Linked DNA regions of Canis lupus familiaris. The protein of the gene in region 1 interacts with the protein of each later gene in a biochemical or structural test. Links are inferred from orthologs where the notes say so. Each region holds a gene or a part of one and is shown on either strand. Other genes may lie near its edges.

Region 1 (4,060 bases):
ACTTTTCCTATTTGTTTTTTTCTTGAAAGCTTTGAGGGTGAAATGAAAAGATCTTTCCCCCCTCCACACTGAAACAGAGAATAGCTCCAGAAGAGACAGTGGCTGGGGGATTGAGCATGTGAAGGACTTTTCTCTGTAAACTTCCAGAAACTTTTTAAGTTTTCACCATATTCAGGTATTTTATTTTTCAGTCTTTCTCCTTTTATTCAAATGGAATTTTGCCATAGAATTCAATGTAATTAAATTATTTATTAAAGATCTTTATTAAAAAAAAAAAAAGATCTTTATTCATGAGACATCAGAAACAGAGACACAGGCAGAGGGAGAAGCAGGCTCCCTGCGGGGACCTCAACACAGGACTGGATCCCAGGACCCCGGGGTCACGCCCCGAGCCAAAGGCACTCAACCACTGAGTCACCCAGGTGCCCCAAATTTTGTATTTGGGATATTAAATTGTGTCCCCCCCCCCCCCGCCCACGAATGTACAGGCCTGGGATTGGACTTGTGTTTCTGAGACCCCAGGCCTAAGGAAGTTGTACGTCTGAGCTCCACTGAGTGTCCACCAGATGCCTCCGTGTGTGTATCTAGTACAAGGCGGCGTAGGTGGTACAGGAAGGCCAAAGGACATTCTAGAAAGTTCGGTGGACTTCCAGACGCCTCTCGAATAGGTGCGGGCAAAGCGTGCGGGGTTTCTGCGCCCCCTTCTAGCCTTCGGCCGTCCCGCACCCCCTGCTCCCCCGCTGCCCCAGCCCAGCCCGGGCCCACCTCCCGCCCCGCGCCGCGATCTGTCGAGTCATCCGTCCTGTCCGCGCCCGCGCGGGGGGATGGGCGGGCCGCAGGCCCCGGCGCGAGGACCCCTGCGGTCGCGGAGGGGCGAGGGACCACGACGCCCAACCCCTCTCCGCCCAGGGCGGGTCTCGAGAGCCGCGGGGACCGCTGCGGCCGAGGGGAAGGGGTGTCTGGGTCCCGCGGCAGGGGCAGCTCGCCCCGGACGCCCGGCGATTCCGCGCCGGGTTTTCCCGTCTCCCGCGGGCCCTGTTCTCCGCGCTCGCCCCCTCCCCCCTCCCCCCTCGCATCCGGCGCCGGCCACGTCCGCGGACGCAGCACTCAACGGGCGCGCTGATCCCTCCGCGCGGGCGCTCGGGACCGCGGCCCTCTCCTCGCCAGATTCAGCCCTACAGCCCAGCCTTGACAGGTCGACGTTTCCGGGGGCTCCTAGAAGATTCTGGGGCAGTGGTTTTCTCCCTGGAGGCCAGGAAGACGGTGAAAAGTAGTCCCTTCTCGGCGTTTCTGCGCAGGGATCCGCCGGAGCGGCGCGGCCGATTGTTATATAAGGAGGCGCCGGGCGTGGCGCAGGCAGTTCCGTGGAGGCCGGGAGGTCGGTTGTTCGTCTCCGTGCGCTTCTGTCACAGCCGCTTGGTGAGGAGCGGGCCGCTGCGCGGGCCTGGGGGTCTTGGGGCCCTGCAGGGGCGGGGGGCCGGGCAGCCGGCTGCCCGGGGAGTTGCCCGCGGCGCCGGAGCGCGGTTACTCTTGGGGGGGGGGGCGCAGCAAAATGGCGTCCGCTACGGCTCCTGTGCGGGGAGAAGCCGAGGTGCGAGGGGCCGTGAGGAGCCCGGGAGACGGGATGGCTGTGAGCGGGCGAGACGCGCCGAGCCAGTGGGGCCCTGACGGGGCCCTCTGCGCAGTGAGTGGGGGCGGGAAGCCCCTGTGTGCTCCGCGGCCCCGCTGGCGCCACGCTCCGTGTCCGGTCGCGGCGAGTGGGCCCGAAGTGCCGGAGCAGTCCTGCGCCCGTTTGGGGGGAGGGGGCCCGCTCGTCGCGTCGGTCATGTGATGTCATCGCTTTGTCAGCTAACAATCCGGGGTGGGGCCGCGTGTTCCTGTGTGTGGAGCCGGCTTGGGTCAGTCGCGGGGCACAAGGGTTAGGCGGGGCGGGGGAGGGGAGATCCTGCGGATTGTCCGGTCCAGACATCACTGAGGGGGGAGGGGAAGATACGGAAGCCGGCGCCTTCACTTGACCGGTATCCATGCTTTCTCTCCTCCTGGGGCCTGGAACTTGGTTTTGGAGCTTATTTGAGTTTCCAAAACCTGTCCTGTTTCTTCGCCTTAGGTTTTTTGGCGAGGTTTATTTTAGTTCTTGGGTTAGTGTAAAATGACCAGTAACTGTTAGCGTTCTATTCACATGTGAGTGGTCTGTTACACTCCGGATTGTTTTTTTTGTTTTTTTGGGTTTTTTTGTGACAGACAATGCAGATCTTCGTGAAGACTTTGACGGGTAAGACCATCACCCTGGAGGTGGAGCCCAGTGACACCATCGAGAACGTCAAGGCGAAGATCCAGGACAAGGAGGGCATCCCCCCTGACCAGCAGAGGTTGATCTTTGCTGGCAAACAGCTGGAAGATGGGCGCACCCTGTCCGACTACAACATCCAGAAGGAGTCCACTCTGCACCTGGTCCTTCGCCTCAGGGGGGGCATGCAGATCTTCGTGAAGACCTTGACGGGTAAGACCATCACCCTGGAGGTGGAGCCCAGTGACACCATCGAGAACGTCAAGGCGAAGATCCAGGACAAGGAGGGCATCCCCCCTGACCAGCAGAGGTTGATCTTTGCCGGCAAACAGCTGGAAGATGGGCGCACCCTGTCCGACTACAACATCCAGAAGGAGTCCACTCTGCACCTGGTCCTTCGCCTCAGGGGGGGCATGCAGATCTTCGTGAAGACCTTGACGGGTAAGACCATCACCCTGGAGGTGGAGCCCAGTGACACCATCGAGAACGTCAAGGCGAAGATCCAGGACAAGGAGGGCATCCCCCCTGACCAGCAGAGGTTGATCTTTGCCGGCAAACAGCTGGAAGATGGGCGCACCCTGTCCGACTACAACATCCAGAAGGAGTCCACTCTGCACCTGGTCCTTCGCCTCAGGGGGGGCATGCAGATCTTCGTGAAGACTTTGACGGGTAAGACCATCACCCTGGAGGTGGAGCCCAGTGACACCATCGAGAACGTCAAGGCGAAGATCCAGGACAAGGAGGGCATCCCCCCTGACCAGCAGAGGTTGATCTTTGCCGGCAAACAGCTGGAAGATGGGCGCACCCTGTCCGACTACAACATCCAGAAGGAGTCCACTCTGCACCTGGTCCTTCGCCTCAGGGGGGGCATGCAGATCTTCGTGAAGACCTTGACGGGTAAGACCATCACCCTGGAGGTGGAGCCCAGTGACACCATCGAGAACGTCAAGGCGAAGATCCAGGACAAGGAGGGCATCCCCCCTGACCAGCAGAGGTTGATCTTTGCTGGCAAACAGCTGGAAGATGGGCGCACCCTGTCCGACTACAACATCCAGAAGGAGTCCACTCTGCACCTGGTCCTTCGCCTCAGGGGGGGCATGCAGATCTTCGTGAAGACCTTGACGGGTAAGACCATCACCCTGGAGGTGGAGCCCAGTGACACCATCGAGAACGTCAAGGCGAAGATCCAGGACAAGGAGGGCATCCCCCCTGACCAGCAGAGGTTGATCTTTGCCGGCAAACAGCTGGAAGATGGGCGCACCCTGTCCGACTACAACATCCAGAAGGAGTCCACTCTGCACCTGGTCCTTCGCCTCAGGGGGGGCATGCAGATCTTCGTGAAGACTTTGACGGGTAAGACCATCACCCTGGAGGTGGAGCCCAGTGACACCATCGAGAACGTCAAGGCGAAGATCCAGGACAAGGAGGGCATCCCCCCTGACCAGCAGAGGTTGATCTTTGCCGGCAAACAGCTGGAAGATGGGCGCACCCTGTCCGACTACAACATCCAGAAGGAGTCCACTCTGCACCTGGTCCTTCGCCTCAGGGGGGGCATGCAGATCTTCGTGAAGACCTTGACGGGTAAGACCATCACCCTGGAGGTGGAGCCCAGTGACACCATCGAGAACGTCAAGGCGAAGATCCAGGACAAGGAGGGCATCCCCCCTGACCAGCAGAGGTTGATCTTTGCTGGCAAACAGCTGGAAGATGGGCGCACCCTGTCCGACTACAACATCCAGAAGGAGTCCACTCTGCACCTGGTCCTTCGCCTCA
Region 2 (3,500 bases), on another chromosome or scaffold:
AACAATATATCATAGCAAAAAAAAAAAATAAACAATATATCATAGCATTTATGATGCTAGTGAGATGTGAGGTTATAAATAGGATAATGAAATGTTTACTTATGATACATAATTAAATACAAAGGAAAAATAAAATAACCTTATACATACCATAAACTTTGCTTAAACTACTAGAATAATTTAGGTATGATTTTAAGAAAAACATTTACCTCAATCCTTAATATGATATCTAAAAGTATTCTAGTTATTAAATATTTTAACCACTAAAGTTTGTGAATAATTATAAATACAAATCTACAAATTGCTGTTTTTTTAATGTGACATAAGATTTCCATTTTTCTTTTTTTTTTCTTTTTTTTTTTTTTTTTTTAGATTTCCATTTTTCTAACCAGTTTATTCACAAACCTGTTAATGTGAAATGTCTTAGAATAATTGGCAAATGTATTGAAAGAGAAAGGATTGTCTGAAGGTTTAAATATGTACATAATGATTCAGAGTGAGCTTTCAATCAAAGGCTACCCTGATGAACTGGGAGTGAGAAGGGTAACTGGAAAGTTGGTCTAAGTTTCAAGTCTGAGAAATACCTTAAAAAAACAGAAAGTTTTCCAAAAGAAGGAAAGACTAGTTTATTTACAAGTGCACCAGGAAAATAATTTAAAGGTAATTAACCTAAAGAGTAAATATACTTCTTGTGGCCATTTTTATAATTTCATAATGAATTGCAAAAATGGATCAAGATGATGTATTTAAAAACCCCTATCTAATTAGTTATCTTTCAAGTATGCAAAATGTTTTTACAAAGGAAGTGGAATTTTTTTTTTTACTATATTTCTACATATTCACCAACACAACTATAAGGAGTGCTTGAAATGACTAGTTTAAAGTACAGAGCTCAATTTTTCAACTATAAAGATGAAAACAAAATTATTTTTCCCATACCCTCATCTATTTAAAATAATCATCTAGAAGCCCTATACTATTTTGTATGAGTGAGTTACTAATTTCTTTGGTGAACATACAAAAGATCTTACTTACGTTTTCTGTTTTTGTAATTGAGTTCTTTCCTCCTTGGTACTGTCCCAAGGAAAATAACCCAAAAGAAATTTCCATGCTTGCTTTCTCAATGCATGACTAAGTCCCTAAAGAAAACATGCATATTAAACACAGTTGTAAAAAAGAATGGAATACTTTAAGTTCACAAAACTTGCATATAAATATACAGGAAGATTAATATTTAAGAGACAGTTTTTATACATATTCACTCAATTCAGTGAATACTAACTTGTTTTTGACCTCTAGTTCTGAAGATGTAAACTTTCAGAAAGCTTAAACAATGCAGAGTATTGTTCTATAGAAGACAGTGGGACTGATTAGTCTTTCTAAGTCCAATCCTTATTAAATAAGGCGACTACCAGTGGGGTACATACACGCCTCCTTCATATAATCCACAGAACTTTAAGTAAGGAAAACTCTTCTTCCCTAGGCTTAATGGTCTCCCGCCCTCCCCACCGCGCAATCCTAAGGGACATCACAAAGATTGTGATGTCTCTGTCCTACAGGGATTTTAAGGCATCATTATTCAAAAAGGAATTCATTCCCTGACTCCCTCTACACTCTACACATCCCTCCAAAAAAGAAAATTTAAATATCAGCAGTTTCAAATATCATCCATATTAAGGTATTTACCCCTCTAAATATCATCTGCTTCATATTATCTACATTTAAAATTCTTCCTTCAGAATCAATGTTCTTAGTCCATTCTTCCAGTGATACTGGCTCTCTCCTTTGAACAACAGGTCGTTCTCCCAAATCAATCTAAAATAAGATAAGCAATATGGAATACACTTTTAACCGGTGATATTAAATCAAGGTACACGGAAACGATAACTAAAACACTATCACTCAGGCACAAATGTTAATTTCTAACATTTCTAGTATCTTCCCTTATTTTTCAATGTTTTGTTTATGAACTTTAATAGCATTCCATACACTTTCCTTCCTACTAACCATACAAATAACAGAGTAATAAATTCAGAGACAGGAATATATTTGCTATTTTGAGTTTCAATTACATAAGTACAAAACATTCGACATGTAAATTCCATAAGGGACTCTTCAAATTAAATGGTGTGCTGTTATTATTTGAAAAGACAGTATTATTCCACTAAACATATTCTAAAATTAGCTTTCCTTCCAAACTAAAATTTGTAGCTCTCAGAATTGATTCGTGATCCATTAGTTCCACTTGGTATTTTCTACAGTTTTTTATTCAATTAACAGATGTTGGTAATTTAAAAATGCCATTTGCAAGATAAGCCCTTCAAGTATTACAATTTTTGTATTTATAATGTTCCAACTATGTACAGCCTAGAATTGTAGCAAATTCAAAAGTCTTGTTGGGCATATATAAAGATTGGCCACAATTCAGGGCCAAGATCCATCTTCCTTAAAAAAGAAAAGATTCACATAAGCATAAAAGCCCTAGAGTAGTGTCCTGACTAGCTGCCCCTGGTGCCTACTGAGAAAACATATAAATTAGGAAGAGAACTTGGAACAATATGCAAGGCTCATATTCACTGCTATGCACTCAATGAAACAAACAACCTGTTCATTATCATCAAAAAGTAATCAAGGAAAAGAGATCCAACTAATAAAAAGTATAAGCAGTAAATGAAGCAGCACAATCCAACAATGTGGAGGCAGAACAAGTATTAGTTGTTAGATATATTAGCAAAAAAGTTTTAAGAAAGGATTATGAGAAAGAGGCAGATATAACCAAAACTGAGTTTCTATTTCTATCATATTCAGTACATGTTTAAAAAGCATTTCTCCTGTTAAAATGTGAGAGCTATGTTAATATAAATGTCCACTCACTCTTGTGATGACTTCGAATCCTGGTTCTTCTTGTTGATTTATCTTTAAACCTGGAATAGCATCACTAAGAAAATCTGCCATTTCTGAAGGTGGTCGTTGATGTGTAGAGGGATCACTGCCTCTCAGACTATCAAAAATGTAGTTTGTGACTTTGGAAAATCCTACCATAGTTGCTGTATAAGGATCCTTTTTAATTTTCTATGTAGTAAGAAGAGAAATATTATCATTATTAATTCAAATAAATAATAAAAATACCACTATCATGAGCAAAAGGGCAAAGGTTTTTAAAGGGAAATCAGAACTAAAACAGAGTGTTCTAAGATTTTTTTTTTTTTCTGGGAAGAAAAATTTTTATTTTCTAAGCCAATCTTTTCATTTGGTTAAAAGAGAATATTACACAGCAAGTTAATGCTACTGATTAAATTGCAGATAAACAAATGATTTGCAGGCTTTATTCAATCTGCATACATCACAAATATATGCAGTGCTTACTTTCCATTGATGAATGGCCCACAACAGCATTCTTCTGTCTAGCAGTCCTGCCTTCACAAAAAAAATATTTCTTGAAGTGTGCACTAGTCTAACGGAAAATATTCAATAGCTAAGTTTTAAAAGCTCACAATATT
Region 3 (3,500 bases), on another chromosome or scaffold:
CACCTGGCATCAGAGACAAGGAGCAAGCTGTTTAAGTGAGGGCAGCTAGGAGGGAAGGGGAGGGAGGGGAAGGTGGCGGAGGGAGCCTGAGGCTCAGGCTATAGGCTCTGGGTGTTCTTTCTCAGCCCAGGGCCCTTCTCGGATATTCCAGAACCATGTGCCCATGCAAATTCACTTCCTTCTCCCCCTCTTCCCCTCAGGCTTTGCTCAGGCCCCCAAGACTGACCCTGCTTCAAGCCCCGAACAAGCACAGCTTTGGGGGGGGATGGGTGTTCTTAGAGCACTGGGTTTTTTCTTCTCCCAGCTTTGAAGACTGAGAAGTTGTCTGGAGATGGCCTTTGAGAACCAGGGCTCTGGGTCCCTGAGGACCGTGGAGCCGAGGAGGGCTGGCTGGCTGTGCTGTGCCAGGGCCCAGCTCACCTGGTTGGCCTGGCCAGGCCCGTGGGCTGCCTCCAGAGCCTTGTAGAGCCCCTCCGACATCAGCACCAGGAAGCCAGTCACCCCGTCCAGGGGCTGTGCACCATGGATTTCGGGCTCTGCGATAATCGGCTTCGACTTGGCGGCGCTATAGGCAGAAAGTGAGGGAGAGCCATGGTTGGGAGGGCGCCAGGGGACATTTCTTCTGCTAAGGGCAAGAATCTGCCCAGGATGTAAAGTTAAATGCACATCTAATAAGAGGAAAAGAAATAGAGGAAAGAGAAAACAAGAAAAACAGAACTGTCTTCTGAGGGTGGGCCTAACGTAAAGCTGAGGCCCAGGAGAGCCAGGGGGCAGCTGGGGTCAGGGCAGTGGACATCGGGTGCCCCATCCTGGCCCCAGTCCTCAGCTCCTGTCCACAGAGCCTATGCGGTGACAGTCGGGACAGCAAGAGGGTGAGTAGGGATCACTTTTAAAAGCCCACTTCTCCCGCGCTCCTCCAAAACAAGTATCCACGCCAACTCAGACTCCACGCGCACCCCGGGTGCACAGGGACCCTTTACTGAGGCGCCAGCAGAGCGAGAAGATGTCACAGAGCTCCAGTACGTGTGCACACACACGGAGGCGAGTCTAAGATGTTCCTGGCAATGGCACATGGCAGAGCAAAGCTTGGAACATCCGGGCAGCCCATGAGTAGGGGGCTGGGGAGCGTGGCCACAGCCCAGCTCTGGGACCTGGGCAGCTGTTATGGAGAGTGCCGCTGCCAACCCACCCAGTGTTGCACAGCAGGGGAGGGCAGCACCCATCAGGAAACAAGGGAGGTGCTGGGAGACAGTACGCCAGCGCCTGCGGGTGTCTTAGAAACACACCCCCACATCCACGTGCACAGGGGCTCTGGGGCAGGACACAAGCGAGCAGGACCAGCAGCGTCTGGGAGGGAGTCCGGGCTCAGGTGGGAGGGAAACTTACTTTTCACCGTACATCCTTGGTGCTACTTGAATTGTTTTAAGCCACAAACGTACTTTCCAATTAAGCAAACAGAACCTCACAAATTAGAGACGAAAATTTCCAAACTCAATTGTTTAAATCTCGGGAGAACAAGTTGTAACTCATGCTTTCTAGGCTATGACGAGTCTGGCTCTGACGCTGGCGTCTTTGGTATGAGTCCCTCACGGCTCTGGTTGTGACATTAAATGCTGTGACAGGCCACACACACCTCCCCCAACACACACACACCCCAGAGACCCAAACCACAACCCCACACACCCTCCCTTCCTTCCCACGCCACAGCCCCTCAACCACACACCCTGACACCATACCCTCCCCCCCCACACCCCAGAAACCAAACCACAACCCCCAACTACACCCCCCACACACAACCCCACACATACCATACTCCCACACACATACCACACACACACATATACACACCACCTATACCCCCAAACCACACCCCTGCATACCACACACATACCACACACAAACACACCACACTCCCACACATACCACACTCCTACACACATACCCCCCGACACACATCTACATACTGCATACACCCCCAAACCACACCCCTGCATACCACACACAAACACACACCAACCCACACACATACATACACACACCACAGACACATGTCTATCTTCCCAGTCAATGTTGGGATGTTGCTCTGGATTCAGGATGAACCTGCATCCAGGTTCAAGTCCTGCCTCAGCCCCCGCTAGCCCTGTGACCAGGCAGGCTCCCTGATGTCGCCACATCTGTTTCTTCATGTGAACATACCTTCCGGGCAACAACAGGACCTCCCTCACGGGGTCTGAGTGAGGGTTGAGTAAGATGGTGTGTAAAGAGCTGGGCACTGGCTCGTTACAATGACGGCCCACGATCACCACCACTGCCCATCTGCTGCTGCCAGCGCTGGGTGGCAGCCAAAAGGGAAGGGTCCACGGAGGGCGGCATCTACTTCATCTTGGACCTCTGCCCTGAGCCGGGCATGCACAGCACTGACCAGGAGGCCTGTCGTCCGTCCCCATTCATACCAGGTGGCTCATGCCAACCCTGGACACTCCCATTGGGCCCCAGGCACTGGTTGCTGTCCCTGGCTCTGACTCAGATCCCCAACCTGACCCCTTGCCAGCCCAGCTCTATGGAACCCCACTTCCTGGCCTGTTGGATCTAGGACCACACACCAACCTCTCTAGGAGGAAGAAAAGTCTTCTTGGGCTCTCAACTACCTCAATTGCACCTTTTGTCCCGAGAGCCCCAAATCTGCTTCTGTCCAGGCCCTCTGGCCTTACGCACGCGGCAGCTGGGCTGGCCACCTACCTCAGTAGGTCGATGTCTGTGTAGCCATACTTGACCTTGTAATCCCCTATGCGCCTGGTGCTCTCCTGCCCACAGATGATTCCCACCTGCTTGATCTTTCCTGCATCCAAACCTGCCAGAGGGAGAACAACAGGACAATCCCAGGTCCTTTTCATCATGAAGAACAAAAGGAAGGGCATACAGACACAGTCCCCAAAGTAAGGCAATGAGGACCCAGGGAACAGAGGATGAAGTCACAGCAGGGTGCCCTCTGGAGTGGCTCACCCAAAGCTCCCCGGTGCCCTGTGGCCAGGCCCATCAGAACGCCCACCACACCCAGAGGCCCTGGGCAGGGAGGCTAGGCCGTGGTGGCTGCAACCGGGATCTTGCTGGCCTCCTAGTCTCCACCAATCACGGGACCTAGTGCATACTCGGTACTCTTGGAAACACTTTAGACACATGGACTCTTAATCCTCACAAGGTAAGCGCTGCTACAATCCTTGTTACACAGATGGGGAAACTGAGGCACAAAAACCTTCTGAAATTCTGAACATCACCTGCTAGTAAGGGGCAGAGCTGGGATCCAACCCCAGGAAGGCTGGTCCCAAGCCCAAGGTCACAGCCCGAGCACTTCATGCCTCTCCCTTCACGGCTACCAGAAGAGAACAGAGTGAGCTGTGGGGGTCGGCCCCACTCAGACGTACCCAGCTGAGAGAGGCGGAAGAGCTCGTCCTCATTCTCCGTGGTGTGGTCCACGTTCAGCTGTGTCACCTGCAGGCCGT
Region 4 (3,500 bases), on another chromosome or scaffold:
AACAGAACATGGTATTATCTACACTAAGGAAACTTTTTCTACCATAAAAAAAGAATGAAGTAATCATGTATAAGTACCACAACATGGATGAACTTCAAAGCCACATATTATGATTCCATTCATATGAAATGTCTAGAATAGGTACATCCAGAGAGATAGAAGTAGATGAGTAGTTGTCTGGAGGCTGAGGGGGAAGGGGCAGCAATGGGGAGTGGCTGCTAATGGATACAGGGTTTCTTTTTTGGGATTATAATAATGTTCTGGAATTAAATGGCAGTGATGGTTTGTTCCACAACCTTGTGAATTTACTAAAAACCACTAAAATGTACAGTTTATAAGGGTGAAATTTTTGCTACATGAATTACACATCTCAATTTTATTTTATTATTGTTTCTTTTCATATCTCAATTTTTTTAAAGACTTATTTATTTATTCATGAGAGAACGGGGTGGGGGTGGGGGGGAGACACAGGCAGAGGGAGAAGCAGGTTTCCTGCAGGGAGCCCAATGTGGACTCAATCCCGGAACCCAGGATCATGCCCTGAGCTGAAGGCAAATGCTCAACCACTGAGTAACCCAGGCATCCCAATAAATGATTTCTTAAACTTTATTATTTATGCCCATTTCAAAATCTGTATCAAATATTATCAAAGTGGCTCTCCTTCTTAAGTATATTTATGAATACTTATAGTTTTCTCTTGTCTTGTAACCCTTAAGATACCAAAAAGATGATGGTATAAGGAATGGGGAATCAGCAGACATATTCTAAATTACACTTTCTACTATTTTTGAAACATGATGCCTAAGCTGGAAATGAGATCCACAGTGTGATGCAGATTTCAGAAGACCCCGTTAATAGTCCCAGTTCCACTAATGATTTGTAAATGTAACTGTGGGCGGGTCACTTAACCTCCTGGTCTCTGTTTCAGCATCTGAAAAGTGGAGATAACAATATCATCTTTGCTTAACATAGTATCTTTCTGGATTTTTAAAAAAAAGATTTTATTTACTTATTCATGAGAGACACAGAGAGAAGGCAGAGACATAGGCAGAGGGAGAAGCAGGCTCCATGCAAAGAGCCCGATGTGGGACTCCATCCCGGAACTCCGGGATCACACCCTGAGCTGAAGGCAGATGCTCAACCGCTGAGCCACCCAGGCATCCTGGTATCTTTCTGGCTTTTAAAGATGTTTATGATGAGTAAATAATCTTTGGGATAAAAATCTCTACCTTTCTATAAGGTAAGAGAAGATAAACTGAACCATGCCCCTCTGTGAAGAAACTGGGGGAGGCTCAAGAATGGCATGGGATAAGGAAGCAGGTAGGGCCGACCATGGTGATGGCACATTAGTACAGCACTGGATTCATGGTCCTGGCTAACTCAAGAAGTACCTGGGACAAAAATACACTTATCTCTCTTCCTTTGGGGATTTTAACAGAAATGGCAATGGACAGCCTATAGCTGCTCCTCCTAAGCTTGGAAAAGCTAACTGCACAACCGCCATAGGAATGTCCTTTCTTAAAATTTTATTTTTACTTTACTATAATTAGTATCATTTTATGTAATGTATATAATTATATAACTTATAATATAATTTAGTATAATTTAAATTTTTCCAGTACAATTAATGTACAGTGTTACATGAGTCACATGAATGTTCTTACTATATAAATATCTGACTTAAAAATTTTTTTAAAGATTTTATTTATTTATTCATGAGAGACACAGAGAGAGAGAAGAGAGACAGAGGCAGAGACACAGGCAGAGGGAGAAGCAGGCTCCATGCAGGGAGCCTGAAATGGGACTCGATCCTGGGTCTCCAGGATCACGCCCTGGGCTGAAGGCCGTGCTAAACCACTGAGCCACCTGGGCTGCCCTGACTTAAAATTTTTAAAAAGATTTTATTTATTTATTCATGAGAGACAGAGAAAGGGGCAGAGACATAGGCAGAGGGAGAAGCAGGTTCCCTGTAGGGAGCCTAATGTGGGACTCGATCCCAGGACCCTGGGATCATTACCTGAGCCAAAGGCAGATGGCTCAACCACTGAGCCACCCAGCTACCTATAACTGACTTAAATTTATAGGCACTTCCTAATCCTTAAATTTATAGCAATCTCATCTCAAATAAATCTACTTTGATTATCTTGAAAAAATAAGCTTATGTCTCTACCCTATAAAAAAACAACTGTAATAAACTGCTAATGAAATTAAAAGTATATTTATTTTAATGTACATACTTACCAATTCTTTCAGTTAATGACCGTGTTCTTTCAGCAGTTCTTAGCTGAAATAGAAATATGGACTATAAGTTAGAATTCTTTTTGGTAGAAGATGATTACCTCAATTTGAAAAGTTACACTAATCATGAATTTATAAATTGGCTTTATTCCAATTCAACATATGAATGTTTGCAAGAGGCATAACCTGATGAAGCTAGAAGGAAGGTTTTTTTTTTTTAAGATTTTTAAAATTTATACATGAGACACACAGAAAGAGAGAGAGGCAGAGACACAGGCACAGGGAGAGAAGCAGGCTCCATGCAGGGAGCCTGATGTGGGACTCGATCCCAGGACTCCAGGATCACGCCCTGGGCTGAAGGCAGGTGCTAAACCACCGAGCCACTCAGGGATCCCCACTAGAAGGAAGTTAAAAGATCATCTAACACAATCCACTCACTCTATAGACAGGGCACTGAGTCTCAGGGAGTTTAAACAACTCGATTGAGGCAAGGGAGCTCATGGTAGAGCCATAAATGACAACTCTGGCTTCCCATTCTAGTCCATGGCTCTTCCCACATGGTACCAATACCTTAGCCATCCCAGGCTGCCATCAATTTAGACACGCTTCTGAGATTTAAAATATTGCCTTTGGAAAGTTCACAATTATTTATGAGTATAAAACACATTATACAAAAGTCTAATTTCAGAAAGTTGAGGGATTAAGTATTTTAGTTCTTCAAACCCATTTTTATTTACAGTGAGTTAAATCAATCAGCTTATGGGGATTCCTCTTTCACAAAGCTACTTCAGGTTAAGAAATAACAAGCATTCGGGATCCCTGGGTGGCGCAGCGGTTTGGCGCCTGCCTTTGGCCCAGGGCACGATCCTGGAGACTCAGGATCGAATCCCACGTCGGGCTCCCTGCGTGGAGCCTGCTTCTCCCTCTGCCTGTGTCTCTGCCTCTCTCTCCCTCTCTCTGTGTGACTATCATAAATAAATAAAAAAATTAAAAAAAAAAGAAATAACAAGCATTCTTCAAGATCTCCCCTTTAAAGCCCACCATACATTATTAATTTAAGATACTATACTGTGAATTTTACACCAAGAAATCATTGCAAAACAAATTAAATAATATTTTATATTCTACAATATGTGACTTACCACTGAATGGGTTAAATGAATATTGTTTATATATTCTTGTCCCTTCTCTTCTAACAGATATTTACACCTAAACAATTAAAAGAAGGTTAAACTTTGGTAGCTGATAAATCAGTAAAGTAT

Evidence for each region. The genes of interacting proteins can lie anywhere in the genome.
Region 2: the proteins of UBC (region 1) and TBC1D15 form a complex in vitro, tested with the Homo sapiens proteins (2 studies listed by BioGRID). The link is inferred for Canis lupus familiaris from reciprocal best matches to the Homo sapiens genes UBC and TBC1D15.
Region 3: the proteins of UBC (region 1) and TAB1 form a complex in vitro, tested with the Homo sapiens proteins (2 studies listed by BioGRID). The link is inferred for Canis lupus familiaris from reciprocal best matches to the Homo sapiens genes UBC and TAB1.
Region 4: the proteins of UBC (region 1) and XIAP form a complex in vitro, tested with the Homo sapiens proteins (5 studies listed by BioGRID and IntAct, with this or other methods). The link is inferred for Canis lupus familiaris from reciprocal best matches to the Homo sapiens genes UBC and XIAP.

What each region holds. Positions count from the first base shown.
Region 1 is NC_049247.1:5,228,786-5,232,845, forward strand, and holds the start of UBC (polyubiquitin-C), read left to right. Parts: upstream 1-1,260; 5' UTR 1,261-1,419; intron 1,420-2,241; 5' UTR 2,242-2,244; coding exon 2,245-4,060.
Region 2 is NC_049231.1:13,772,852-13,776,351, reverse strand, and holds part of TBC1D15 (TBC1 domain family member 15), read right to left. Parts: intron 3,418-3,500; coding exon 3,367-3,417; intron 3,073-3,366; coding exon 2,875-3,072; intron 1,816-2,874; coding exon 1,687-1,815; intron 1,140-1,686; coding exon 1,036-1,139; intron 1-1,035. UniProt on the Homo sapiens protein: Acts as a GTPase activating protein for RAB7A. Does not act on RAB4, RAB5 or RAB6.
Region 3 is NC_049231.1:26,591,231-26,594,730, forward strand, and holds part of TAB1 (TGF-beta-activated kinase 1 and MAP3K7-binding protein 1), read right to left. Parts: coding exon 3,423-3,500; intron 2,852-3,422; coding exon 2,740-2,851; intron 566-2,739; coding exon 421-565; intron 1-420. UniProt on the Homo sapiens protein: Key adapter protein that plays an essential role in JNK and NF-kappa-B activation and proinflammatory cytokines production in response to stimulation with TLRs and cytokines.
Region 4 is NC_049260.1:96,096,813-96,100,312, reverse strand, and holds part of XIAP (E3 ubiquitin-protein ligase XIAP), read right to left. Parts: intron 3,448-3,500; coding exon 3,381-3,447; intron 2,285-3,380; coding exon 2,242-2,284; intron 1-2,241.